Linked DNA regions of Alligator mississippiensis. The protein of the gene in region 3 interacts with the protein of the main gene of each other region in a pairwise test. Links are inferred from orthologs where the notes say so. Each region holds a gene or a part of one and is shown on either strand. Other genes may lie near its edges.

Region 1 (7,400 bases), on a different chromosome or scaffold from region 3:
ATCAGTCAACCAAAGTTCCACAGCTTTACACAATTTTAAACAGGGAAAGCCCAGGCTACTGTGTGCCTTTAAAACAAGGCCTTAAATCCAGTGTAAAGAGCAGTGTGCATCTGACATCCCAACCAACTCTCTGCCATGTGATGCTATCAACCCTGAAGTACTGTTTACACTATAGTCCTAGGACAAGGCCTTGGGCCACAGCACAAAATAATTTATCCTATGCAAGTAATTAGCACAGCTATTTAAAAAAAAATTAGAGGTGGACTGATATATCAGTTAGCTATCAAACTAGCACTGATAAAAGGAAAATTATATTATCAGCTATCAGCTTTCTTTGGCTGTTATAGCCGATAATGTTTACCAATAATAATGCCTTCTCACTGGGGCCCTGGACACCTGGGCTCCCTCCTGTGAACCGGGGTGACCTTGAGTGCAGAGGGCCTGATCCAGATGCAAGGGCCCAAGCCATTCTCCATCCCTACTCCCATCCCCTCACCAGCAGGCCAGACTGGACTCCAGAGCAGCTCATGCTGTGTCCCAAGCACTGGCATGGAGCAGACTTCAGGCTAGGGCTGGGGCAGGCTCAGTAAAAGACGGCAAGTTCTACAGAGATGTGACTGAGGTGGGAAGAGGTGGGCAGACCCTGAAGTGCCTGAGGTTCCACACCTTACAGACAGAGCCTGGTAGGACCAGGGGCAGGGGCAGCCACTCCCCCCTGCTCTGTGCAACAGGGTCTTCCCCTGGCCCCTCAGCCCAGTCGGGTCCTGTCCTTCCCAGGGCTGGGCCCATTCAGCCTCCGCCACGGGGCACAGGGGCTTGCCCTGCCTCTGGCAGCAACAGCACCAAGAGGGGAAGAGGCCCTTCTCTGCACTGGAGTCCAGCTCCCAAGACCTGGGGCCCAGCTGCCAGGGAGGAGCAGCATGATTTCTCCAGGCCTGGAATGGTCCTGTGGCCCTGCCCTGGGCAGAGGAAGGAAAGTAGGGAGCCTGGACCAGAGACCACCCAGCCCTGGGCAGCCAAGAAGGCTCACACCTTCCCCATCAACCCTGCTGGACAGACTCAGGCAGCTACCCCCAGGCTGGGGCTCTGTACTGTAAAGTTAACCCAGTTGATTCCAAAATAAAGCAACTATAAACAATGTTAAAAATTAAACTAACCACCACAAGTGCTGCCACTGTAAGAAGTGCTGTATTTTAACTGTCTGGGTTGAGTGAGACACCAAACAATCTTTTAAAACTTACGGATTAGTGGTTAGCAATTTTTGTAGGCCTTGCTTTTGCATTATTAGTGTTAGCAAAATAAAGCTAACCACAATTCATTGTAAATGTAAAGTTAGCAAGCACCTGAACGTACAAGAGATGTCTCAAAACCAACTTAGGCAAAACTGACTGAAACAAGGAAAACTAGTTCACCCTTCTCCTGAAATGTATCCATTCTGTCGTTGATCCAAGCTAGTTCAAACCTTGGAGTTTAATTGAACACCTCACCAGATTTGAGAAGGTCAGTAGCAATGAAATAAAAACCTCTTTGTCCAGAAGGAAGAGACTTGACCTCAGTGGTCCACATGCCTATCACCTTCAAACTAGCTGGGGCAAACTGCTGTTATCTGGGACTAAAAACAAAAGCAATATAGCCTTTCTTTCTTGCTTGGGCAAAACAGAGCAGCCTCCTTTCAGTCAGCTGAGATCAGCAAGGAGCACATCAATCCCACCCAGCACCAATCTTTCTGTGGATTCACCATCCAGCTTCTAACACCAACCCTTTGTTAGACTCTTCAAAGCAATCAGCAACAGGACACCACCAACATCAGCTGCAACCCAAGACAGCCCAGTCAGAATGAAGTAGGGCAGACTGGAGAGAAAAGTATTGTCTGAAGAATAGGCTTTCGAAGGAGCCAAGGCCAATTCTGGCTAACAAGCTAACCCCTACCATGGCCTAAACACATTCCAGAACATTTCTCAACCCCACTGGTTGCAAGACCATATGAAAAGTACAAACTTTAGAAATGGATTCTCCTTTAAAAGAGAAAAACATGGGGAACAATGGCTTTTCCCTTGCAGGTTGGCAGCTTGGGCCCACCCCTGCCCCATGCCCCCTACACCTCACACACTGCGGGGTGGGGGGTAGCAGGTTAGGCGAGGGGTACTAGCCATCGAAGTTTACAAATGGGTCCCATACCAAAAAAGGGTTGAGAATCACTGGTCTAGAAGAAAATAATATCACAAGCAGAGGCAGAAGAGGAGCTGCTTCTTCTCTGACTATATGGAACCTATCAGGGACATTGCGCAGTGGCAAATCTAGTTTACCTGGAAAGTGACAATGCCTCAAAAATCCCTCAGCAGAGGAACATTGTCAGGTTAAGCTATTTGCTAGCCCAGGTCAGTGCACTGTGCCTAGACAGAGGGCCCTGCTGCGCGCTCAAATGAAAGCTGGCTAGAAACGATCTAGAGAGTTGTTACAGTTCCCAAACATGCACTTGGTAGCTGGTTGCCTTTTTATAGCTAAAGTCGTTTTGAGCATGTGGTGACCACTTTGCACTTGCAGCTGCCTGCTTTATTGTACCATTCGCTGGTGAACCACGCAGTACATGTAATGAGTGGCAGAAACCGGGAGGCAACCACCTCTGAAGAACCCCGCAGCCCCGCGCTGCATCTGCCGGGCAGGTCCTCAGCCCAGGTCACGGGCAGGCGGCTCCAGGAAGCCTTCAGACCCCAGGGCGCGAGGATCGGGGGGATCCGCTCCCCAGCCTGCCCCTCAGGCTCAGATCGTCCTCCAGCGCCAGCCCCGCCTTCTGCGTCCCGCTGCCACGCCCGAAGCAACAAGCGGAAGAGCCCCGGCAACGGCCCGCTCCCTCCCGGGTCAGGGTCCGGGGCCGCCCCGCACCCCAGGCAAGCCTTGACGCGGCCGCCTGGCTCTCACCGCCGGACCCGGCACGCAACGCCTCCTCTTCGCCTGCGCGGCCGCCCGGCCCTGCCCTGCCCTGCCCTGCCCACCCGCTTCCCGTCACGTGACTGCGGCGCCCCGGAGCCGCCGCTGCCCGCACTGGGGGAGGCTACTAAGCGAGAGCGACCCCTTGCGGAGCGGCGGGCCAGTAGCCGGCTTACCTCACACCGCCCGCTCAGCTCCACCACAGGGGAGGGCGGGTACTGGAACGAGCCAATAGGAAGTCACGCAGGCGGGCGGGGGCGGGCGGGGGCGGGGGCGGGGCTAACTTGGCAGTGAGGCGGGGCCTCGCAGCGTTTCCCACCCCCATCTCTCCGGTTGGCTGGATCCTGGTGGGTGGGGTGTGTGATGTCCTCCCCCCTACCGTCATTATGACGTCAGAAGTCCATCAGAGCTAGGTGAGTAGGTCGGGTGTTACGTACCGTCGGGCCCAAGCGGGGCCGTATCCGGTGTGGTCGCGTGCAGTGCCGCGTCCTGGCCCTCGCGCTCTGCCGGGAGGTCAGCGGGAGGCCCGCGGCCCAGTGGCGCGGCTTTGGGCAGCCCTGCCACCAACACCGAGCGTCAGTCTGCAGCTGCATCTCTTCCCGCTGGCTTCATCTTGGCCAGGCTGAGCCGCGGTCTTCCTCCTGCCCCCTCTTTAGTGAACCGGGGATCTCGTCACCTGCTTTTGGACAGCTCTTTCCTGAAGAAGGTTCCTTAACGCCCTTGTAGAGCCGAGGTGAAACTTGGGTTTGGTCCATCTTGTGCCCATTGTGGGAGAGTTGCCCTCAAACTCAGAGTAATGGTACCCTGCGCTTCCGTTGCCGCCCCTACAGAGGCCTCAGAGCACTTTACACTTGATACGGCACCGTAGCTTCAGGTAGACATGGGGCGTAAATTCACATTTGCCACGAAAAGAAACAAAGGCATGTCACCTGGGGTGTATTCATGTGTAGCAGGCAACCTCAGTTATGCTAAGGCTTAGCCACAGTCCAGGCTTTCCCTGAGCAACGCAATAAAATTGAACAGAGTGCCTGACAGTCTTTGGAAGGAGTGCTGTAGTGGGAATGCTGTAAGTGAGGAATGTATAGCACTTTCCCTGTAAGGAAAGATAACCAAAAGTAGGATAGGATTGGTGTACCATATAAGGAATGGTTGGCACAGTGCTAAAGGATTTGGACAACTTGGGATAAGAAAGTTACAGAAGTAATCAAGAAGCAAAGGGAAAGCTGTGTGTTCGTGTTGTATCTCTGTGGAGACAGGGGCAACTATACCATGACCATGAGGGAAATACCATGACCACCAACATGGTTTTCATACTGGCAGGGCAAAACCACTTTCTTGGCAGGGGGTAGTACCCTGACTGAGGTAATGCATAGTTTGCCTCCCACTTTCACTTCCAGTGGGAAGATCTCAGCTATACACTGACTTTATGGAAATGGAAGACTCCTCCCTAGCTTGCTCCTGCGGCCATAAAGCTGAGGGCAAGCAAAAGTTGGGGGCATCCAAACCCTAAGCTTCCAGGCTGAGGCCTACATGTAGGGTGCCAGTCAAAGGATTTGGAAGCTTCTGAAGCCCCAGGCAGATGTACAGGATGCTTGCCAGTAGTAGGGTCACATATGGTTCTTGAATGACTCACGGATTTGGATTTGACTTTGGACATGAAAAATATTCCTTAAAAAAACCCAAAAAACTGTAGACTTTTTGCTCGAATAGCTGAAAAACCAGAAACAAACATCCCACACACCAAGCAGAGGACCCAAGGCTGGTATCACCAAAAGTTACTGCTGTAGTGTCTAAAGGAGCCACTTGCCAGGTTGTGTTATGGGGAGGAAATCTGTAATATTGCATAGGGCTTACTATTAAAGTTCACTTGATACCACATCGGACAAGTTGCCATGTCAATCCTTTGGGGCTCTGGTAAAAAAAATCCCATTGGTAACATCATGCAATTCATACGTGGCCCTTTGCAACCAAAGGTCAGGACTGGGTGCAACCAGAAACAGAACAACTTAAAATGGGACTAGAATTGTATCATTCAAGTAATCCATTATGTCTGTTACTGAGCACAACGGGCCCCCACTAAGCTGTCCCAGGAGACTTGCTTGGGAAATGATTCTGTAGTTTTCTGAATCTGTTCTTATAATGATCTAATTGTTAGTATGTGTCATTTTTAAAATAGAGCCTCCATGTTGTAAACATACAGCATCATTATTGGCACACACTTGTCAAATAATAGAAACACATTGAAGCACTAGCAGGTGATATGCTTCTAGCTGATATATTTTCTTTTGTAACTCATAAAACAATATTCTGTATACATTTTCTATAATGTATCATTCATGAGGGCCAGGGTTAAAAGAGAAGTCACAATGTGATCATTTCTCACTCAAACCACAAAATATAACTGTCTCTAGTAGGATCTATAAAGACTGGATAAAGTGGCTATAAAAGATTGGATAGAATTTGCATGCAGCTTTAGCTGGATATTGAGCACCTAATTCTAAATACAAAGCTCCAGGTTTTTTTCACTTTTAATTCTATTCGCACACCAAAAACAAAACAAAAACTTCAACAATTTGTTAATTCTAATGTGGAGTTACAAAAATATTTTGAGAATATTTTTAAGTTACACATAAGTCTTTACCTCCCCATCTACTGTCTCTCCACAGATGGACTGAGGAAGGCCTTAAATTTGCTTTTTTTAACAAGTTTCACCCTGCTTCTTGAGATATTATGTCCCATACTTATGCAGTATAGTGATTTGCAACTGGTAGGCTACAAGAGCGGTCAGGTGACACCCCACCACTGCCGCCATGTTTCCAGTGCCAGGCTGCCCCATGGGTGGTTTCCTGATTCAAGAAGCAGCAGAACCACCTTTAATGTAGTACTGTAGGCAACTGAGAGAGACAGTTGTAACTGCACAAATTATGTTCAGAGATACATGTACAGAGGCTTCTGGAGCATATCAGGCAAGCAGATCATGAGAGAGATAAGCTGAGGTTGTGCATGATGTCCAAGGGAGTTTGGTTTCAGGATGGCAGGTTGGGAGGAATGATGCAGTCAGGGAGGGAGGGTGAGCTATAGGACCACAAAGGTACAGAAACAATGACATTTTACAATACTAGACTATATTGTGAAAAAAAAAGTTTGTACTTTGCAAGTGGGTGTATGTGGGGAACATCCAGATAATAGGAAGAAGAGTAGGCCAGGGAGGGCTCTGGACCATACTGGGAGGGTAGATGAAGCAGCATAAATGTGATCTAAATGGGTAAAGGGGAACAAGACCCTAAAATAATTTAGCAACAGCTATTTGTATTCTTCCATTATCCATTTCAATTTCAGTTTGGTATAAAAATTCTAGCTGAATCCAAGACCCAGACAATCCAGTTCTCTGCAAATATTCTTTAGTGTGTGAATTTTAGTGGAGATAACAGCAATTTCATGAAACATATCATGGAAACTCAGTTACAACCTTAACAATAAAATAATTTTAAATACAAAGAGAGCTTTGTTATCAGAAAAGACGCACATAAAAAGGTATTCAATTTTAATATATATCGATAAGTTTCTTAGCTGGTTAAATGACCCTGGAAACACTGACTTCAGTGAAACATTCCTAAGTTTGTGTATCTATTTGTGTAACTGTCCCCATGTATGACTGAATGTTGATGTTTAAATATTTTCTATGGCAAGGTGGAATATGACCTTTTGTTAATAATGTAAGTCTAGACCGAAAGAAAGAAGACTGTATTATAAACAGATGTTAAAATAGTCCTTTCATGTCTCTGTATTTTCAGTTCTAACAGTTTAAATGTTAAAAATGAGATACTCCTCAAGACAAAAAAAATCTCTTTTGGAACATAATCCCTTCTACCTTGATTTCTCAAGCAGCTACATGAATCTTTTTTGCTCTTTCTGTCATGTTTATATCTACTTACTACAGCTCCTTAACCTTTCTCTGAAGTAACTGGTCCTGGACACCAGACCAGCTAGGTTGGTGTATGGAAATTCCTGTGTTCTGAGTGTAGCCCAGATAAGGTGTAAGGCACCATTTTGGGGAGCAATGTTTTTGTCCCTTAAACTCCTCTTTCCTCTGTTGCCACTACTGTCAAAGCCTTTTGTAAGAATGATGCCAAGACTTTTTTGTTAACCGTGTACTCTGAGAGACTTCTTTTGCAAATGCTTGTAATTTCTTTCTCTCTGATAATTAGATTTTGGAAAAGTCTCCCAAGGGAAGTACTGACAGACCAGGTGACAAATTTTAAAGTATTCCATGCATCTATAGCACCCGAAATTGTACTGTAGAGAGCAAGTCTGTATTAGCAGAGAGATGAGATATGTGACCTGTCAGGTTGTTTCCATTTATAATTTATCTGTTTCTGTATCTCAATGGAATAATGCATTCTGACTGTGGAGTGAAAGTCTCCTACATCTCATTTGATAGTGCTACCAGATCAGACAGATGGCAGAAGGTG
Region 2 (6,840 bases), on a different chromosome or scaffold from region 3:
TTCTGCTCATTTTAATGGGGCTATTTGTGTAGGAAGGCACAATTTAGTGAAAAAGTGGCAGAAATTATGGCCCATTAGAAGCATCTTAACTTGGCAACAGCAGATTTGTGTGTCAAAAATGTCTACAAAGAGTTCCGTCCTGGGGGTGACAGTATGATCAATGAGACATTTCTGGAATTCCATTAAGTATGCTTATTTTATTCTTAGCAAAGCAAAGGAAGGTGGAAACAGGCAATTTTAAAGGACCATACCTGAAAATGTCTAATATACCATGTGTGAATTCCAGGCTTTATTAAATACATATTTTGCTAAAGTAGCCCCATACTATATTGCTCTTAAAGGCATTTGGCTGCTAGTTCACACACATACCGGTAGCATTCATGGAATGATAAATCTAGTTTCCCTTGGCACCCACCTGATTAATACCTTAAATATTTTCTCACTATAAATCCAGCACCGAGGACAGTGACTTTAACTGCATATTCTTTTTTTTACTGAAAATACTTATTAGTGTCACACTAAACCCTCCGTCTAGAATGACAAATAGAGTAATAAGTAAAACAACATGAATGAAAAGTAAAATAGCTAAAATTACTAATAGCATAATTATGGAGGAGGCACTAATGATGCTTTAGTTAGGGTTATGTTCAACTTTTAAACTAAAGCAGGATCGTAATTAGTAACAGAAAAAACCCTGACTCTTTTTATGCAGCTATGAAGAGCCTGGATTAAGTTCAGTTTTACTATGGAGAGAGGCAGTATTTTGACACCTGTGTTGAAGTTTTACACTTAGGGGACTCCCTGTGGGACTGTGTCAGAAGTGGTCTGGGGAATTAGAGCTGAATTTAAAGAACACATTGAGATTCCAGGCAATACACCACTTCCACACTCCCTTCTCTCTTCAGTGTAAAAACATTGCTTGGAGGCTGGAACTACAAAACCCACATACACAGCTAGTAGAGTTGATATTAAGGCTGAAAACCAAGGTGAAGGTGAAGGGAATCTCTAACCAAGCTGTTATTGCAAGTCATCCAATGAGTGGGTGGGAAGGGAGGAGGGTCAAATGGCACAGCTTTTGCTCGGGGCTCCTATGAGTCTGTGTGGCAGCTAGGTAAGAATCCATATGGCTCTTGGTCTAGAAGATCCTCATATACAAAGCATAGCTACTTGTTCATGTGGTGGTAGGAATGAATTTGCTCCAGCAATATTAATAATAACAAAGGTTATTTAAAGCAGTCTTCTGACTTCCCACTAAATTGCTATAAACACTATATTGCAATTCATGGGGCATTTTACTTTTGCACCATCCTGATACCAACGTGACTCTTCTGTTGAATGCTAACAGATCTCCAGATCAGATTTCCAGGCCAATCCAGTCCAGTGGAAATATTTTAAACATAACTTATTTCTCAGCTATATTCATAGTCCTGAAGAACATGCATACAATTCCTTCTTCCAAGGCCAGTCCAACACCATGCCTGGTTCCCAAATAATAATTCTACCATAATGGACTAATCCAGAGGTATTCAACCCTGGCTTGTGGGCCAGGTCCAGAGGTACTCAGCCCTGGCCTGGAGCTGTGTCATCTGGCCTGCACGGCTCCCCATGGATCTGGAAATTTGGTGATGCGGAAATGGTGCCTACTCCCCTGCTGTCAAATTTCTGAACCCATGGGAAGCTCCACAGTCCTACACACTAGATCATGCATGAAGGATGATGTGTGTCCTGATCCTGGCATGCAGGAGTGATGCGGGGTCCAATCTCAGTGCGTAAGGTTGGGCAGTTGGCATGAAGTGCCAAGGTGTGCAAGGCTCAATTCCAGCATGCAAATTAGAGGTGCACTGATACATTGGTGCAATAACAGATCGGCACCGATATAAAGAAAATTGAGTGTATCAGAAATTGGCCTGATGTGGCTGATAAATTGGCTGATAAATGCCCATGCATGCGTGCAGCTACAGCGCAGCACATAGGCAGCCAGGAGCACAGCTCGGCAACTTGGAGAGCTGCATGCAGCTGGTAAGTCTGTTGCAGTAGAAGGGGTGGGGGAGGGAAAGGGTGTGGGGGCAGGGGGAACACAGATCAAGGCCCCAGTGGTGAGAGAGGGAGAGAAGCTGGGCCTGGGGCTGGAGCAGGCACTGCCCAGCCAGCGCAGGACAGGGTGCAGGGCAGAGCTGGGGTTTGTCCATGTTGACACTGGATTTGACCCAGCACCTATACCTTTGTTTTGGGCGGGCACAACCCTCAGAACGACCACACCACCTGCCAGTTGATAATAGGCTAATTTATTGATACAGAGTAAGAACAAAAAAGCATCAATACCAACAATCAAACAATTCTGTATCTACCAGTCCTAGGGCTGTCATCAAAGTACATCTGGTCAGGATGGAGGCTCCACTCTGAGGCTCTTTCTTGGGTGTCAGCAGTCTGGAAGTGGGATGCTGAGGCCCACAGCGCCCCTCCAGTGGGCACAAGCTGGGCTACTGGTATGCCCTCAGTCCATGGTGGCCTTCGGGACCCTTCCCGGGGGCCAGGGATGGGGACCCCTTTCAGGGAGCAAAATGGGGAGGGACGGGAAAAAGGGAGGGACCCTTTGTTAATCGCAAGTCTCTGCTTTTGTATTCTCCTTCCCCCTTGATGACTCCTCATGACACTTCATTTGTTGAACACCACTGAACTAACCAACACTAATCCACGTATATCCCCAACACTGAATCTTATACCTCTTCACAAGATAAGGAAAAGAACTGGGAAGACCATATCCAACAGCGCCACCTGGTGATGTCTGCCATAAACAAATAGGACAGCTGACAAGTGACGGGTAGATATCCATCCCTAGTCAGCTCACCCTGTCAATTTAAAAGTTTTGCTAGCATAACTGCATGGGCAAGGGACATGATTTCCATTTGTAACATAGCTATTTGATTAAAAAAAACAAACCCAAAAACAAAAACAAAAACCCAAAGAAAAGAGACTGTAGTACAGAGGCAGTTATAGAGGCAGAAAGCGCTTTTGCTGATAAAGCTTAATTCACCTTCAATGAGTAAAAAAACTTTGAACAAAAATGTTTGTGCAAATAGACGCACCTGCATCTGCACTAGGAGGGTGTTTGCCCAGTACCGGTAAGCTGGCAAAGCTTTTGAGTGCAAGCAAGGCCCAAATTCAGGATGTGGCTCTGCTGGCCGAACCTGGTAGCATTGTCATGCTGGACAGGAGCATGAAAAGATCACCCTCTGTGGCTGGTGCAGCTTGGCTGTAAATGGCCTGGGCATGGTCTCTGCAGGGAACTTGTCGTTCAAGGCAGCTGGCACAGCTCTGCCAGCCAGGTCAGCGCCCTACCAGCAAGGATGGCCGAGGATGATCTGGCAGCAGCCAGGCCCCAGCCTTTCCCCTTTATACGCTATCTAAACCAAAAGCCCAGCGCGGGTGCACGGGGCGCTTGGTGCTGGAGACGTGCGAGCGCCGCCGGCCGAGGAGCCGGAGCGCCGGGCACTCGAGTCAGCCCGGGGTCGAGCCTCCGGGTCCCAGACACTGCCGGTGCCGGCTCTCCGATACCCCTCGCTCCCGGGACCTGCGGCCTCGCCCGCCGCTCCGCCGCCTGAGGGCTGCTGGTGCCGGGGGGGCAGCGGCTGGACCGGGCCTGAGCGGGGCACGCGACATGAGACGAGGCCTGGTTAGCCAGGGCGGCGCCCCGGGGGTCCCGTGCGGGGTGGGTGCCGCTGCGGGGCCTGCGCCGGCTGGGCGGGATCCCGGGGGCGGTGCCTGCCCCTCCCCGCCGGGGCCGCGCGAGGCGGCGGAACGGGCGCGCGGGGCGGCGTTGCGCGGGGACGAGTGTGCGGCGCGCACCGGCTGCCAGCGCGGCGGCGGCGGCGGCGGGCGGGGCCGCCATGGCCGTGGACATCACGCTGCTGTTCAAGGCCAGCGTGAAGACGGTGAAGACCCGCAACAAGGCGCTGGGGCTGCCGGCGGGGGACGGCGCCCGCGACGAGCTGCTGCGCCGGGGGGGGCCGCGGCCCCGCAGCGACTTCTCCGCCCGCGCCCGCGACGTGGTGAGTGCGGGCCGGGAAAGGGCCTCGCGGGCCCCCGGGCGCGGCGGGAATGGGGACGCGGCCCCTTTAAGCCCGGCCCCGCCCCTGGCGCGGAGGCCACCGGGCTCGGCGGGGCGGTGACGTCACCGGGGCGACCTGGCACTGCTGCCCCGCCCCCCGCCGGCCCGGCCGCCTCCCTACCGGGTGGGCGCGAAACCTCTCCGCGCACCGTCTGGCTGCACACACAGCCCTGCCACACCGGCACACGCAGACATGCACAAAACCCCTCCACGCACCCTGCCTGCCACGCACACACACACCCAGAACCCTGCCACACCTGCACGCGCACACACACCCTGCAACACATGCGCACACAGACATGCACAAAACCTCACTGCGCACCCTGCCCGCCAGACACACACCCCCCGCTGCGCGCACACTGCCACTCGTACACCCCGCCACACACAAAATCCCACTTTGCACTCACCCAACACCCGTGCACACTCACCCACAAAACCCTGCTGTATATGCGCGTGCGTGCACACACACCTTGCCACACACACACAAAACCCTGCACACATGCACACACACAAACGAGCACAAACCCTGCCACATGCGTGCGCACACAGACGGGCACAAGACCCTGCCACATGCATGTGCACACCCCCCCCCACATCGTGCCACACATGCACAGACACAGACAAGCACAAATCCCTGCCACACGCACACGACTACCATGAGCACACACCCTGCCACACATGGACACGTGCACACATACAGACATGCACAAAACCTTGGTGCACGTACACACACAGACACACACAAAACCTTGCCACACATGCACACATACGCACAAAACCCTGCTGCACACACACACACAGACACGCACAAAACCCTGCCACATGTATATACACAGATGCACAAAACCCTGCCACACACACACACGCCCACCACCACACACTCACCCTACCACACTCACTTTCCCATCCACCCACCCACCCTTGCAAAGCTAATCATCACAACTGATTGGATCGCTGTTGTCTATGCAGGCCTGGTGTGCCCCCCCAACACGTGCACTGCAATCGCATGCTTCTTCCCATGTGACTCTACCTTGCTCATGGCACCAAAGGGAATGTGCCTCGTGTCTAGCGAGTGGTTCCTGCTGTATTTATTGCACATGATTCAAATCCTGTGTTAAAGACAGAATGATTAATTCCCTCATTGGCTTAGTTTTTTGCTGCTTGTTCCTGCAGTATCTGAATGCAAGGACAAAGCATTAACACTTGAAGGTATTATCCTCATTTAAAGGTGAGGAACTGGGGTATAAAAAGATGAAGGGCCTAAGAATATACTAATTTTGAGTGTTAAGTATTAGATATCTGCTTTTTCAAGTCAGGCCGCCATAACATGAAGTTTACAAAATCGGGGGACATCTGTAAAAGGTTGGTTTAAATTAGGGCTGTCAGTTAATCATGATTAGTGCATTAATCGTTGGTGTTAATTTTTTTAACGTGTTAATCGTGCACGTGGTTTTGGAGCCTGCGCCTCGGCTATGCTCTGCTCCCATCACTGCTGCCTCCAAGCCGCCCCATGGGCAGTGGTGGCAGAGCAGAGGACCACAGGGCAGCTGCAGCAGGGGAGAGAAGCACACACAGAAATGCAGCCGCAGCCTGCACTCAGCCAGGAAAGTAGCTTGGTGGCGTGTGGAGTAGCACCCACATGTAGAGTGGAGTAGCACCCAGCAGGCAAGTCTGTGAAGGGGGAGGAGGGGGACAGATTGGGGCTCCCATGGTGAGGGAGAGAGTGGGGCAGGGGCGGGGGTGAATGGGTCCCTGAGGCCAGGTCATGGGGCAGAGCCATGGCTCATCCATGGGAACTGGGGGTGGCGGGGACTCCTCCTGCTGCAATCACCCTGGGGGTGGCACAGGGGCCATGTGCCCCCCGGATTTATGTGTGGGGTGGAGGCGGGTTGCCGCTGCAGACGAGCTCTGCACCCCACTGCCTTTGCCCCAGAAGCTGCGCACTGGCAATGTTGTGTCCCCTACCTGGCTGGCAGCAGGAGGCACAGCATGGTGTATCATGGCTCCCAGGATAACGGCAGCAGAGCATGGAGCGCAGCGCATAGCAGCAGCCCACCTCCACCCCAGCCACAAATCCAGGGGGCACGTGCTTCCCATGCTTCCCCCAGGGGTGCGCACAGTGGCGGGAGCAGCGCCCCCCCACGCCTCTGGACAAGCTGTGGCTATGTCCCATAACCCACCCCAGCCCTGGGGCCCCATTCACCCCAGCCCCTGCACATGCCTCTGCCCCACTCACTTCCTCACCATGGGAGCCTCGATCTGCCACCCCCATGCCCGTTCCCTCCCCCATGCCCCTTGCCCTCCACAGATTTACCTGCAGTGTGGTGTCTCTGTGTCTGTCTTCCCCTCACCCCCAAACCACAGCCCCCTCAGCCTGGCTGCTGCCCCTCACTCCTGACCCACAGCACCTCACATCCTGCCCGGGTGTGTGATTCATAGATTCATAGATTCATAGATGTTAGGATCGGAAGGGACCTCCATAGATCATCGAGTCTGACCCCCTGCATAAGCAGGAAAGAGTGCTGGGTCTAGATGACCCTAGCTAGATGCTCATCTAACCTCCTCTTGAAGACCCCCAGGGTAGGGGAGAGCACCACCTCCCTTGGCAGCCCGTTCCAGACCTTGGCCACTCGAACTGTGAAGAAGTTCTTCCTAATGTCCAGTCTAAATCTGCTCTCTGCTAGCTTGTGGCCATTATTTCTTGTAACCCCCGGGGGCGCCTTGGTGAATAA
Region 3 (7,014 bases):
TACCATTAGTTTCAACATCCTCAGTGTTGGTGGAACAGAGGGCTAATCTAGCTTTAAAGTCTTTCTCAGTATAACTATTTCAGTTAGGGATTTTTTTTTTAAGCAAGATAATTTCTGCCAATTAAATCCCTAGTGTAGACATGTTATACAAGTATAATGCTTCCCCTTCCTCTACAGGAATAATTATATTGATATATAGCATGTACCAGTTGTAACTGTATCCATGCTGCTTGGGAGTGTGCCATAACTTCTTAATGTAGACAAGATCCAAGCCAGTATTAACAATGGTAGAAAATGTGTTTTAAATCTTTGTACTTCCCTCCTTTGTGGATTATGTACTGGCATTAGCATGCACTTAAAACACAGTCACACAGTGTGGAAATCAAAGCATTTTTTTCCAGCAGCACTGGGAATTTGACCATATTCAGAGTAAAGTTCCTGTATTATACATTTAATATTTCAAAACTGTCAGGCTTTCTGGGTGAACAAAAGCAAAACAAACCAACAGTTCTAATACATATTACTAAAAACCACCGCTGCTGTCATGTTTAGAAGACCAGGAGTAACCTCATGCACTCCCAAACTTTAGAATGATCACTATCAATGATGTAATGAGTAGGCAAGCAGTCACAAGCCCCAGGTGCTGCCTAAGACAGGGGAGGAGAGGTGCCAGAACAGAGCTGATGGGGCACTTCACCTTCCCATTCCACGTCCCTTTCCCCACACCCTGCACCTTCGCAGGCAGCAACTCCAGCTCTGGCAGCAAGTGGGCAAAGCAGTAGCAGCGATGCACGGAGTAGGACTGGCCAGTGCATAGGAGCAACATGCTGCTTATAAAAAGAGAGAGATGCCAGCTCCTTTCTTTGCCAGCAAAAACCAGTGTTTTTTGGCCACCGCTCAACACACATCAGCAGCAAAAACAAAGTGTCATCTCCACACTACAAGAGCAAACCTCTGGCCGCTGCCTCTGCACCCTGCACTGCTACCATCCAGGGCAAAGTACAAGCCAGTTATGCCTCTGGACACTGCAGGAGGAGTGGAACAAATTGGCTCCAGGGAGCAAACCAGTATACCAACCTGTACCTATTACTTGCACTAGGCTCACAGCAATTCCACAGCCAACCACGGGTGGGACTTTTGTCTCCACTACTAGAGCTCAGCTACCTGAAACAGTCTGGAAATTTCAGCCACCTGCCATTAATGAGAGGCAGATCTCAACAGCATCCCCTCGGATAAGTACCAAATCTTTTCTTTTGGTTGAGATTCTGTGGTAATGTTTACAGTGAAATATCTGGAAGCTTTTCTATTCTGTTCTAGAGAGAGGTAGGTAGCTGTTTTAGTCTGAAGTCAGGCAGAAGGCAGGACAGGTTGGCACAGTGATTCTTAAGCACAGTGCCATGGTGCCCTGGGATGCTGAGAGATCCTTTCAAAGGTGCCACGCAGTACTAGCATTGTTGGGAATACATGCAATTCCAAAGGCTACAGAGGCCTAGGAATCCACCTGCTTCCTGCAGCTGCTTCAGGCCTTTACAGCAGTGATTCTCAATCAGGTGTCTTGAGATCCTTTCAAGGATGTCACACAACGTTAGTACTGTTGGATGTACAAACATGATTCACAAGATAAACCCGGAGATTTCAAATAGAATCTGCACTGTCAAAAGCCACCTACCCAGCTGTGGTACTTCTGTGTTCTTTGCTACAGAAGAATTGCTCAGAGAAATAATAAGTGACAGCTAAGAGCTGCCATTTTCCATGGGGTGCCTTGAGTCTAATTAGGGGTGCCTCAAGCTTAAAGCAGGTTGAGAACCACTGCCTGAGAGACTAATGCATGTGGTTTGGCAGGCAACCACCTACGTTGTCAAACTTTACTTGGTTCACAGCACCTGACAAAAAGTAGGCTACTGCCTACCAAAAGCTTACACAGGCAGTTCTCACCCTTTCTAGACTCAAGGCATCCTTGGATATACTCAAGGCACCTGTCGGCATGTACCAGCTTTGCATTTTCACTTTTTTTTTTTTTTTTTTTTTGGCCTACAGAAAAGAAATAAAGCGGGGTTCTGTCGCAACACAGGCAGAAAGCCTGCCGCTATGGGAGTCCTACAGCAATCTCTAGATTCAACCTTGCCCATCGTGTATGGTAAGCAGCGCTAACAGTGACAGCTCCCTCAGATGGTCTAAAGGCACTCAGGAGAATCCCAAGGCACCCCAGGAGATCTCAAGGGACCCTGCGATGCCAAACCACCCAGGAGAGCTCAAGGGACCCCAGGATCCCAGGACACCTAGGAGGACCAAAAAGCACTCCAGGATTTCTCAAGGGACCTCATGATCCCAGTATACCCAGGAGGACCCCAAGACACCCCAGGAGATCTCAAGGGATCCCATGATGCCAAAGCACCCAGGAGATCTCAAGAAACCCCACAATCCCAAGGCACCCAGGAGGACCCCAAAGCACCCCAGGAGATCTCAGGGGACCCTGCAATCCCAAGGTACCCAGGAGATCTCAAGGGACCCCAAGGGGACCCCAAAGCACCTGGGAGGATCCCAAGACACCACAGGAGATCTCAGGGGACCCCACAATCCCAAGGCACCCAGGAGGACCCCAAAGCACTCCAGATCTCAAGGCACCCCTGGGTGCCAGCCTGCTCGAGAAGCCCCGCCTTACACAGCTGTGCCCTGGCCAGGCTCGGGGGCCAGCCTGCCCCTGCCCCCGAGCCCCGGGGTGCACAGCCACGCGGCCGGAGGAGTCTCCCCCCACCCCGCGCAGCCTGGGCCCCGTCCCGGTCGCGGCGCCTCCGAGCAGCCGCAGCCCCGGGGAAGCGCTTCGGCGGCGCCTCCTCGGCGGCCGGGACCCGGCGGCGCTGCCCCGAGCCGGGCGGGCTGGCGGCGCGGGCTGCTCCGGCCCCGCACACGCACGCACATGCACATGCACCGCCGGGATCCCCCCGCCCCGGCCTCACCTCGCCCCGCGCCGCCGGCCCCGCACCACATCCTCCGGCCCGCCCCGGGACAGCGAGAGCCGCCCCACCCGCCCAGCCCGCGCCGCGCCACGCCACGCCACGCCACGCCACGCCACGCCACAGCCACTCCCCCGCCGAGAGCTGCCAGCCCCCGCCCCGCCCTGGCACAGGCGACCCCCGCGCCGCGCCCGCCCCTGCTCGGCAGGGCAAGGACCCCCGCGCCTCCCCCAGCCCGGCCGCGGGCGGGGGGAGACAGGCTTTGTGAGCTGCCAAAGAGCGTGGGCTCGGGCTCCCCTCATCAGGAAAGCTACTGAGGAGATTAAAAAATAAAGACATCTCAGGCCTCAATCCTGTAGGGCAGTGGTGCTCAACCTTTTCTGGACCAGGACCCATTTGCAAACATCAGTGGCCAGTCCCCAGTACTGTAGCAACAAAGTTTGGCACCAGGGCAAAGCCCATAGTGGCAGCTCACCCCAGCCCTGCATGCAAATCCCACCCAAGCTTGGCCAGGAGTGCACACAATGGCTGGAGCTACCCTTCCCTGGTCCCAGCACCTCCCCAAGCCTGCCGCTTGCTGCTCCGTCCCACTCCCTGCCCAAGCTGGGCACCGCCTGTTGTTGCCCCTTCACTTAAGTGCCCAGGGCGATCGCCCCACTCACCCCTCCCCCTTGTTATGGTACTGCCAGTCCCAACCCAGTGCCCCTCACTCCCAACCCGCTGCCCCCGCTGTGTGGGGCATTGGGGGCTCCAAGCAACCCCTCGCAACCTGGAGCTCTGCCAGACTGCAAGGGAAAAGGCCTTGTTTCCCACATTTTTCTACTTTAAAGGACAATCCACCTGTTGAGAAACGCTGCTGAAAGGGGCTTGAGCACAGCAAGTGGGGATGAGGCGGAATTGATGTGTTTTAAGTCCAAACATATCATCCTCATAACCTCTCAGGCACCTCAAGCCACTTGCAGGGCTGGACACAGGCATGGGTGAGCCAGGTAGCTGCCTGGGGCCCAGGCAGAAAAGGGGTCCCCAAAATGCTAATTATTATTATTATTATCATCTCCAGTGAAGGGGGGGGCAATACTAAAAGCTTGCCTGTGGGTGCCAGGAGTCTAGGTATGGTGCTGGTCACTTGGAACTAAAGCTTTCACCCGGCTTTTCAAGCCTGTCAAGCACAGTTCCTTTAAGCACCTAATGTTTCTGCCTGTCACTGGGGCCAGTTCTGCTTTGAGCAGGGGGTTGGACTAGATCAGTGTTATTAAACCCATGGGTCACGACCCAGAAGTGAGTTGCAAGAATATACAAAAGGGTTGCAAACAAACTTTAAAAATGGATTCTCCTTTAAAGAAAAAAAATGTGGGAAGCCAGGGCTTTCCCCTTGCAGTCTGGCAGAGCTCCAGCCTGTGAGGGGCTGCTTGCCCCCTCTCTGCCCCCACCACGCACACTGTGGCAGAAGGCAGCAGGTTGGGCGCGAGGAGCACTGGGTTGGGAATGGCCACTGATGTTTACAAATGGGTTATGGTACAAAAAAGGTTGACAACCACTGGACTAGATGACCTCCTGAGGTCCCTTCCAGCTCTCATTTTCTAGGATTCTGTGACATATCTGACTAATTCCAACTGGTCTGGTAGATGGCCAGGCCTTTTGATGTGCTGTTACAGGATGAGAGTCAAAGCCCATCAAACTGGGCTATGAGCACCCACCCCCTTGATGTGGGGGGCCACTGAGGGCATATCACTGATTGCTTGGGACAAATAAAATGCAAAATAAGTGAAGAGGTGAGGGTCAAAGGTTCAGAACGAGCACACTGAGGGGGTGGACTGAGCACAGAACACCAGAACGTGGGCACTGGTCTTTGAATGCATCCAAGAATCCAGCTGACACTGCCCAGTGAAACTGCCTCGAGATGTGAAAAGACCAAGGACAGGAAAATGGCCCTGCAGTCCCCAGAGTTCTCCCAGCCAGGGCCTCCTTCCTGGTCAGGTATATTGCCATCTTGGTCAGGAGGAGGTTGACCAGGAGGTCCCAGATGTGGGAGTGCCACAGATAGGGAGCACATAACAAAAAAGGGGCAGGGAGTCATGCAACCAGAACTTCAGCAGGAGGTTCTGGAGGAGGCAAAAAAGGGACTGCAACCTGGCGCATTCAAGGGTAGGCATGTGCCAGGGTCTCTCCACCTAATTCAGTGCTTGGGAGTGACTCAAATAAGGTCCATCATCACAGATAACACAATACATATTTTATTCCCATTTAAACTAAACTAGAAACTTTACTAATGCAAGGGGTCCAGGGCTGTGTTATTCTGTTTAAGATTGGAGCAGAAACAAACATAACTTAATTGGAATGTGTTCAAAAACAATCTGCAGGTCTGTGAAATAGAAGCAGCGAGGCCCCTGCTATACCTTACATATATTATGCAATTCACAGTTGAATTGTGAAATAAATTTATACTGGCCACACCTGCAAAGTAAGACCAGCCACAAGTTCAAAGTAATTATCACCTTGTTAATGGGTGAATCGTGCAATAAATTTAGACTGGCCACCCATATGCAGAAATTATCACATGATAAAAATTACTTTCCAGCTGTAAAAACTGCTAACCAGCTATAAAGTTAGTGCTTGAAAATGTGTAAGAACTCTATAGCTGGTTTCTATCCAGCTTTAATTTGAATGTGTAGCAGAGCCCTAACAGACCACAGAATGGCAGAAGGAAGGACATCCTGATGGGTAGAAAATCAAGGCCATTAGAAAGAAGAGAGGGTCATTAATACTTATGAAATGAAGTTTTAAGAAGGGATCGGGCAGATAATAACGAGCCCTGAAGTCAATTGACTCCCTCATCAGCTGCCTGACTAGAAACGCTGCTGCCACTGCCAGACAGTTCATTTTAAACTGTGGGTGGACCAGGGACCTGACAATAGAGTGGAACAAAGTCTGGGTCTTCCCTCTGCCTCTGTATAAAATCAGACCCTTCTACTATGGGGATGACCTTGCTCAGGTTCTTTGCCTGAGGGGCACAATTCTGTGGACTCTTCCCTAGGTCCTAATTCAAACTGTATGCCAGCACCTTTACCCAGTCTTTTACCAGGCCTCTGCTGAGAGTGCTTCCCTTCTGAACATTTGGCATTTCCAACATGAGGTAGGCAAGGACCCATAGGTGATAATCCCTTGATCCAAGGATGGTCTCTACCATGGCTCACTGATGAGTCTTGTGGTGACTTGGGAGTCCAATCCTAGAGCCACAGATCCATCCACAGAAGGAGACTAAGCTGCAGGCTGGGATTCCTCTCCTTTTCCTTCCTCTGCTCTCTCAGCTTTGAGGGCAAGACATTTTACCTCAAAATGAGCTGCTGCTTGGGTAAGGTTGTGGTGCCACTGGAGTCGGTTGGCAGCCAGCTTCTCCCAAATCTTATTGACAGCATCTGTTTTCTTGAGGTATGCCTTCAAAGTGTTTTTGTAGCATTTTCTCAGGCCATTACTAAGCTGGGAGTACAGCATTTGTTTTGGGAGGCAAGAGTGAGGCATCTGCACACAATGTCAGGTCCAGTGAAGTTGATGCTTGAGGATCATTGACTCAATGCTGGTAACACTGGCTTCAACAAAGATGCTGGTGTTTGAGTCAACGTTCCTATTTGATGCAGAGGATTTTCTGGAGGCATCATTGGTGATACTTCTCCAGGCTCTTGAGATGGTAATGGTAGGTCATCCCCATTTCACATCTATAGAGGAGAGCGGGGATGATTTTTCCATTGTAGACCTGGATCTTGGTGTCTTTCCAGAGACTGCAATGAATAAAGACATGCTGAGATACATTCAGCACCAGGGCAAACTATAAAGCACTTTGGTCTTCTCAATGTTGAGAGAGAGGCCCAAAGTTTGGTAGGCTTCTCCAAAGAGATCCAGCATGGTGTGGAAGTTTTCCCCAATGTGCACAGTCACTAGTACATTGAAGTTCAAGGATGGTTGTTTTGAGTACTTTGGTCTTCAAGTGAAAATGTCCCAAGCTGAAGAGTCCTCCATCGATTTGGTATTCAGTGTCAATTCCAGAAGGAAGGCAGTCATTAAT
Region 4 (7,816 bases), on a different chromosome or scaffold from region 3:
CCTCAGGTACCAACTAAGTTTTCATGATAGGATGCTTGCTACAAACTAACCTAGCAACTGGAAGGACTACTAAGCAGAGATAAATTTATATTGCCTTAGTCACTCAATGCAGGAGACTAAAATGTTTTTTCCCCCCATTTATTTCTTTTTTAGCTTAAAAACATATCTGAAGTACTAGTATTAGTACCAAGTACTAATACTACTGTTAGTTTCAAATTCAGTGGAACACAACAAAAAAATTAAACTGAAATTTTATGCTGACAGATTTTTTAAAAGTTCTCTATGAGTTATTGAGCTAATTAGAGAAATGTTAATTTCTTTAATACAAGCATTTTGGGATTTATATACTTCCTGTAAAAATTAAAGAGTGGGAAAAAAAACTTCAATCATAAAAAGGTTCCTATAGCCTTAGGAAAATTAAGCTATAAAAGCATCTGGCAAGTGATGGATTATACAAAAATAAATCCACACAGCAATACCAGAATTCACATACCATTATTAAGAGGAGAGAGAAAATTTTAATTCAGAAAGCATCAAAAAAGCAGCCAAATATTTTGTGTAGTTTGACATATATTTTAGAACTGTTAAGAGTCATTTGAACATGCTTGAGGATAAGTAAATCTGTTTTTGTCAAGTATCAGCTGAATTGTTTATTTTAATCAAGTGTCTAAACTGGGGGGGGGGGGGAGGGAGGGAACGTTAGCTTTCTATAATTAATAAACCAGGAAACCTAATAGGCTTTGATTAAGAAATGTACACTTTAAGGTGCTACAAAACCACTTTTTAAAAGATTTTATAAATGTATGATGTAATTTTTAAAATAGGGCAAGGAACACAGAAAAAGGTTTTAATATGCAAATAGCCTTTTCATTTCTTCTCCCCCGCATCTAATATAAAAGAATAATTATGCAAACTGACAATTTCAGGTCAAATGCAGTTTTAAAAGGTTCCACAAATCATTGGAGGGCTCTGAAGCAGAAGGGCGCTTCCTTTCTATGATAAGAAAAAAAAAAAAAAAAAAAAAGATATGACTGTCTACATGGGGGTCTAATTATTACTAGGATGGTAGGAAACATGCAGTTCTACAGAGCCTTTTATACAGGTTTTCTCCATACAGACCTCAATTCTGGATTATATAAAAATATGTGTTCGTTAAAATTTGTTGCTGAAATAAGCTAGAATTTTTTTTTCCAAATGCCATTATGAACAGACATTGGGCATCATGTTACTGCTTTAACCAGTCACAGCCTATGTGAAAATTTCAATAAAACTATTTACTCCTCCCACCTAGTCTCCTGTACTGGGGGGAAATGCTATAAAAAAAATTAAAAATAAGCAATACCTATATATTTGTTTTATTGCACCCCCCCCACCTCCCAAGCCTTCCTCCTACTACAAAAAAGGAGAAAGGAAACAAAAACAAAAACAAAAAAAGAGAGAAATCTAAAATGCAACTAAGGGATAGTGTCTAGTTTGGCAAAGCTGTGGTGAGGAGGAGTTGAAAATGAGAGAGCTGCCTTGCTGCAAACGCCATCTTGTTGCAGTTACTGGGCCCAGGCACAGAAGGATCCATTCATTCACAGCAAAAAGAAAATCAAACACACACCCTCGGTAATCTGCAGCCACCAAAACAACTGCACTATTATCACCCCTTCTCTCCCCCTAAAACACGCCGAATCGGAAGAGATTGATGTACAGCGCTTATAAAGAGTTTACCTCTCTGGGTAGGAGCTTATTTTTTCAGTTGCATTTCCCACGTAGAAACCGACCGCGTTTTGTCTTGTCACATCCCCGTGTTCAGAGGACAAGCCTCAAAATGTGGGATACCCACCCCCCCCCCCTTACAGTTTGGTAATTTCTGCACCTAACGGTATCTCATTTTAATGCCAGTCTCCGAACACCTCCCTTTGGAGGTCAGCCTGCTGCTTCAGAAACCATTTTAATGATATAGCTTCGCTTTTTTTTCCCTCCCCCCCATCCCCCTGCTTTTTTCTTTTTTTAATTGGAGCCGGTATCCCCCAGCAGCAGGCAATGCCTCCCAACGTGGCTGCCGGCATTCGCCCGAGGATGCTTTATTTAAAACCAGTCCAGAGCTGGACTTGGTTGGAGAACCGTGAAAAATTGCACGCGTTAAAATTTCAGCCGATCCTCACACACGATAAATCGACACCGTAGAATAACCTCTACATCATCCTTATATTCTGCTGGACAAGATTTCTCTTCCTCCCCCCCCACCCCCCTTTTCAACTGATTCTTGCCTCTCCTCTCCTCTGCCTGTGCGCGCCTTACGCCCATTTTCAGGTTTTGAGAGGCAGTTTTGCAATGATAATAAAAAGCAGATTTCTAATCTAAGCAGCCCCTTGAATGAGGAGCAAAGGGGGAGGGGGGGGGGGTGCTGAAAACAGTACGGGAGCAAGCGAGGCTTGAAAAACCACATCTATTTTTCACAGGATTTCAATAGCGAGCGGCTCCCTTGTTCTGCCGGGGCGCGCACATCCTCCATGATGGGGCACGCTCCGGGTTCAGGCTCGCACAAACATGCAGCACAAGGCCAGCTCCAGATGTGCACCCCCCCCACCCTTGCAGGCGGTGGAGCCCCCGCGAGCCCCAGATGTTGCCGGGGTTTCCTGCCCCGCCCGGCCCGGCGCGGCCCGGCCCGGCACTCACCTCGGCCGCGCCAAGCCCCCGGCGCCCCGACACCAGACACGGCAGGGCCCCTCCCTGCCTGCCTCGCTTCCCGCCGCGGGCCGGGCCGGGCCGGGCCGGGCCGGGTGCTGCGGCGGGGGGGATGGGAGCCCCGGCTGTGAGGGGGGGAGGAGGAGGAGGAGGAAGGGCGGGCAGTACCTGCTCCCCGGGGCCGCGGTGCCCGCTCCGGCTGAGGGGGGAGGAGGAGAAGAAGGGCCCGCCTGGCGCGAGGGGTCCCCGGGCGTCGGCTCCAAGTCAGTCCCGCTCAGCTCCCCGCAGCCATCGGGAGCCGGAGCCTGGGCGCGGTCCCGCCTCCGCCCCCCGCCCGTGACGGCCCGGCCGGGAAACCCCGCTCGGCCCGCCCCGCCCCGCCCCGCCCCGCCGGAAGGGGAAGGGGAAGGGGAAGGGAAGGGAAGGGGCCGCGCCTTTGTTCCGCAGCGCCGGGCCCGGGTGCGGGCGTTGGGTGCGGACGCGGGGACAGAGGTGTCCTTGAGGGGACGGCCCGGGGGCCGGGACCCCCTCGCCCTGCCCCGCAGCACGCGGAGAGCCGGAGCTGAGGGCAGCACCGCGCCGCCGGCGGGAAGGTGACGCCAGGCCGCGGCCGCCCCGCTCTGCCCTCCCTGTAAAAGCAATAGAGAGGTGCTGGTGCCGGTGTCCCCGCAACACACACGCACACACTTTACCCGTATTTGTGCTTTCTTAAGTGGCGGCGTGTGCAAGGGAGGATCCTGCCTCCGCCTGACCAGGAAGTCCGTTTACAAAGAGATGAAACACCTTCCAAAAAAAAAAAAAAAGCTTTAAAATCCATAGAAAGAAGTGGTTTTAAAAATCCTAACGATGAGCAACGCAGCCCGGCTGAGCTAGAAAGGAAAACCAAGCCAGAACCGACAGCAATGAGGAAAAATACTGAAACTATTCAATAAGAGAGGCTTCTTGTAAGCGTCCCACTTTTTCTTCCACAGAAAAAACAATTTAAAGAGATGATGAGCGTCCTGAGAAGGGGCAGGCTGGAAAATTAGGTTTACAGAGAAGAGCGTGACCTCAAAATTGGGTGGAGTTGGTTAAAATGAGACCGAGAAAGGGTGTGAGCTAGTCACCGTAGGGACGGTGGGTTGTTGTGGAGGAACTTGGGTATCCATGTTTTGTTACTGTTTGTTTTACAACAGTTGTGATGTTGTTTGAACGGTCCTACATCCTGTGTTTAAAGTTCAGCGCTCAGCCCTTGCATTGGCAAACAACCTCCCCTCCCCCAGGCAGCTTCCTCAAGTGGCTCGAGCACTGAGCACCAGGACCTGTGCGTTGCCATCCCTGCGCTTGCCATCTGTTCTGTGTCGTCTCACGCAAGGATATCAAATTCACCCAAGGAAACTTGTCTACAAACAAAACACTTGTGTATGTGCTAAGCTTTATGGGCAGGACTCATCCTATTGAAGGCAGTACAACTATTTGTGTCTCAACCTGGGCACGTGTAAATGTTCATAAGACTGGGGCCTTTGGCTCGTGTATGTCTTGTTTCTCTCTATGCTAGAGATGAGAGTTTGCCTTTAGAAGCGACGTGTCCATTTTACTGGATGTTGTTAAAGTATTGTGGAGACAAAAGAGTGTAATTATAAACATAGCTATTACAATGTTCCAGTCGAAACAGCCTCTTATTCTGAGCGGTGGGATTTCAGATAGGTAGGCTTCGAAATACTTTTGAATGTGGTTGTAGCGTGTGTTATATACTACTTGAGACTAAGTTGTAATTTTTAGGTTAATAGGTTAATAAAGCCTGTCTGCTAGAAGTGTAAAACCCCTGGTGTGGAGACGGCTGTGACGACAAAATTGGGTAGGGGGGTGCTTTGTCATCTTAGCCTGTGTCATTTGGGGTAGTGACCCAGTACCATGTTGCAGACACTACAGGTTGGACACTACAACCTGTAGTGACCCAGCTTCATCTTTGGTTGGGGCTCTGTAGTATAGATAGGTATTAAGATTTGTGTTGAAAAAAAAGAAACTACCCAGGATTCAAAATACATTAAAATATGTGACCTAGTGAAAAAAAACTAGTACCATTAAGCAAAGTCCATTAGGCCTGAAAAGTTCTTAGAGAATGTCATCAGCTTGATTGTTAAAACAGGTTTTACCATTTTCATTCTGACTGACAGAAGTACCTTGGCAGATTTAAAATGCAAAAAAAGATATCTGCATTGGCCTTAAATAAGGTTCCAAGCTTTTGAAAGATGCTTTTATTTCCCTAAGTCTTCTGAGAGTGTTTTTCCCTGGGGGCTGGGTTTCATCTCCTTCCATACATGAATGGACATAAAGCTATATCTCATCAAATGTTTTTTGCAACCAGACGTTAATAAACCAGCGCCCACTTCTTTCTCATCATTTCAACTACATGTGAGACCAGATCCCACTTGTACCCATGACCTTCCCTTGGTGTTTATGTCTAATTTGTTCTTACATACTGTTGGTAAAGGAAAATGGACAGGAATTCTGCTCTTGTACCTTTTACAAGAAATGACTTTTGGAGTTCATCTTGTTTTCAGCCAGGAGTTTCTATAACGTGTATCCTTCCCTGTATTATATGAAGACTGAAGACTTGTGCCTGTGCTCTGTAACCTCTTTCAATTTATGGAGATTGGCTAAGAGGATTGAAGAGGAACTCTATGCTTGTACATGCCCAGTCACAGTTATTTTTTGCTTCCAAAGCAGATATTTAAAATACAACTTTTAGAGTAGTTCCTGGTTTACTTATGACCCATCCTCCAATAAAAAACAAGTGCTAATTTTATTGTCTGATTAGACAATTCTTTTGCATTTTAGAAGCCTCCTGAAAGAATGTGGATGCTACTAGTAAATTATATTTTGTCTGAAAACCATTGTTTCACTTTGGTGTCCACATGGAGTGCCGTCTTGGAAGCAAAGGTGTTTGCCTGACCTCCGTTTGGCAACAGCATAAATGCTTGTGTATCCTAATTAGCAGAAGAGGATTGTTGTAGCTCCAAGGCAACATGAACATATCAAGATCTGAAACAAAGTTTAAGCTGTCTGATGACAAAATTAAATATTTAATTCTGTCTATCAGTCCAACCTGTAGTGTCTGCAACAACTGATGTAAATGAGATATAGTGCAGACAGCTGGTAAGTTTAATGCCCTGACAGAAACCAACATAACGTTCTCTAAACTTGCACTCTCAGAAATGTTAGGTCCACTTCAGCAGAAACAGTGGTGGGAATCCCAGATCACTAGTGAAAAGTTTTTTCTAATATTCCCAAGTGTATCTATTCCCTAGCTACCTAGAGCTAAAGAGCAGATTTTGCTGCAAGCAGTTGTTTTCATCATTCCCGAGTATGTAATGTCTTGCCCCTTTCCTTGAGTCATTTGGTATAATCCGCTGATGGACAAGGGAAACTGAACCAGCTGGATCTTGGGGCTGGTCTGCTGCTCTATGTTCATTTCAACAGTCTTTAAAACATGATTACAAGACCTTGAGTTATCCTAGCCTGAGTTTGTCTTTTCTCTCATTCCAGGATGCTGTTATTTTAGGGAGCTGGAGTTTTGCAGGTTGAACTCTCACCCAGGACCTGTGTGTACAACACACTACATATCACTAGGAAAGCAGTAAAAAACTCTCGTTTCAATTGCATAGGAAATATACAAGCCTTTTGTGTAGAATACAAAGAAGCTAGTTGTTAAAATGAGGAATATTCAACATACTGTGGTATCACTATGAAATGTTACCAAGTAGGGAACAATTGTTCAACAGGCAACTTCAGGTACTCCTGGTTTAGAGAGCATCCCTTTAAATCAAGCCAGTCTGTGATTCCACACAAACACAACACACTGAAAGCTGTGTTCTAGTTTTCAGCCCTCGGGCTCCACTCTCACTCTTGCGTGCATGTGATTGCTGTTGGCACATACAAATGGAGGTGGCTGAGGATTAATAATATCTGTGCAGTATCAACATTCACTTTAGATCCACTGCATATCTTGCATCTCTTCCACCCTTCCCAGAAAACCTGGCTTAAACATCACCACCTCCCTTTTGTGTACATTTGGTAGAGGTGCAGCAGGAGGAACTGCTGCTTGGTTTCATGCCTTTTACCAATCTGTGGAGCAATCATCCCATCTGTAAAATGGTTATACTACTAGCCCATAAAGGTGTAAATCACAGCAGTATTAGCAATGTAGTGTACACATACCTGAGTTAGCTTTAAACTAGCTGGCTCAAGTACCGGTAGCAATCTAGCTGCAAAAGCATGAGCTGTTTTACCTTTCTTCTTGGGTGCATATTGCAGCCTGCACTGAGCTTCATGTTGCTGCAGCTCAACTGCTACGTTCCAGTTTCAGAATCCTCCCATTGCTCCCAAATCTGGATGTTCCCTGGATTCTGAAAGCCAGTGAAGGCAGAGGTTAACTTTTACCTGTATCGTTACAGACCATATCACAATGGGTCTCAAGCCCAACTGCTTTTGAGCATTGTCATACTAGGAACAGAGGGCTAAAAGGTGCCTCCTAGGGCATCGAGTCTAATCCCCTCCATTAGTAGGCTACTGTTAACCTAAGGAATCCCCAAAATTGCCACTTTAAGCCCTCACAAATAATTAGAACCATCTACAAGATGCCAAGACCTTTTAATAACATGGCACAAGCAAAAGCTGGAGAGACAAGGGTCCTGCCAATGCTCTGCCACTGCCACAACAGAAATATTACAAAAACAACATTCATTTCTATCACTACTATTGTGCTTGTCATTCTGCTTTGTGATTAACTATACATTCAAATTCTCTTACTAATCTTTCTGACAAACTTCTACTCTTTCTGCTGCTCAGATTACACAGAAAATACTCTAATTCACCCATGTTTAACTTGTACCCATTTTTAGAGTCATATAACATCTAAATACAATTATTTTAAACTACAGTAAGTATGGGATAGCAAATACCTTTAAAAAGCTTAAAGGTTACATTTTGACACAACCAAAGCTTAACTGACTTGCAGTACCAGTACTATCTAGTGACATCAAGGGCCTGATCTAAAGCTGACAGAAGTCAAGAGGAGTCTCTCCACTCTTAGAAAGTCTGCAGTAACTATTACTTTAAGTGATGCTACTGGTAAAACAAATATTTGAGTGTATTAATG

Evidence for each region.
Region 1: the proteins of DISC1 (region 3) and EXOC1 interact in a two-hybrid assay, tested with the Homo sapiens proteins (2 studies listed by BioGRID and IntAct). The link is inferred for Alligator mississippiensis from reciprocal best matches to the Homo sapiens genes DISC1 and EXOC1.
Region 2: the proteins of DISC1 (region 3) and STX18 interact in a two-hybrid assay, tested with the Homo sapiens proteins (2 studies listed by BioGRID and IntAct). The link is inferred for Alligator mississippiensis from reciprocal best matches to the Homo sapiens genes DISC1 and STX18.
Region 4: the proteins of DISC1 (region 3) and GNB1 interact in a two-hybrid assay, tested with the Homo sapiens proteins (2 studies listed by BioGRID and IntAct). The link is inferred for Alligator mississippiensis from reciprocal best matches to the Homo sapiens genes DISC1 and GNB1.

What each region holds. Positions count from the first base shown.
Region 1 is NC_081825.1:60,853,377-60,860,776, reverse strand, and holds the start of EXOC1 (exocyst complex component 1), read right to left. Parts: upstream 3,012-7,400; 5' UTR 2,920-3,011; intron 2,586-2,919; exon of another isoform or gene 2,563-2,585; intron 1-2,562.
Region 2 is NC_081825.1:28,610,314-28,617,153, forward strand, and holds the start of STX18 (syntaxin-18), read left to right. Parts: upstream 1-3,820; 5' UTR 3,821-3,887; coding exon 3,888-4,049; intron 4,050-6,840. UniProt on the Homo sapiens protein: Syntaxin that may be involved in targeting and fusion of Golgi-derived retrograde transport vesicles with the ER.
Region 3 is NC_081824.1:149,967,719-149,974,732, reverse strand, and holds the start of DISC1 (disrupted in schizophrenia 1 protein), read right to left. Parts: upstream 3,021-7,014; 5' UTR 2,958-3,020; intron 1-2,957. UniProt on the Homo sapiens protein: Involved in the regulation of multiple aspects of embryonic and adult neurogenesis. Required for neural progenitor proliferation in the ventrical/subventrical zone during embryonic brain development and in the adult dentate gyrus of the hippocampus.
Region 4 is NC_081836.1:13,022,569-13,030,384, forward strand, and holds the start of GNB1 (guanine nucleotide-binding protein G(I)/G(S)/G(T) subunit beta-1), read right to left. Parts: upstream 3,009-7,816; 5' UTR 2,845-3,008; intron 1-2,844. UniProt on the Homo sapiens protein: Guanine nucleotide-binding proteins (G proteins) are involved as a modulator or transducer in various transmembrane signaling systems.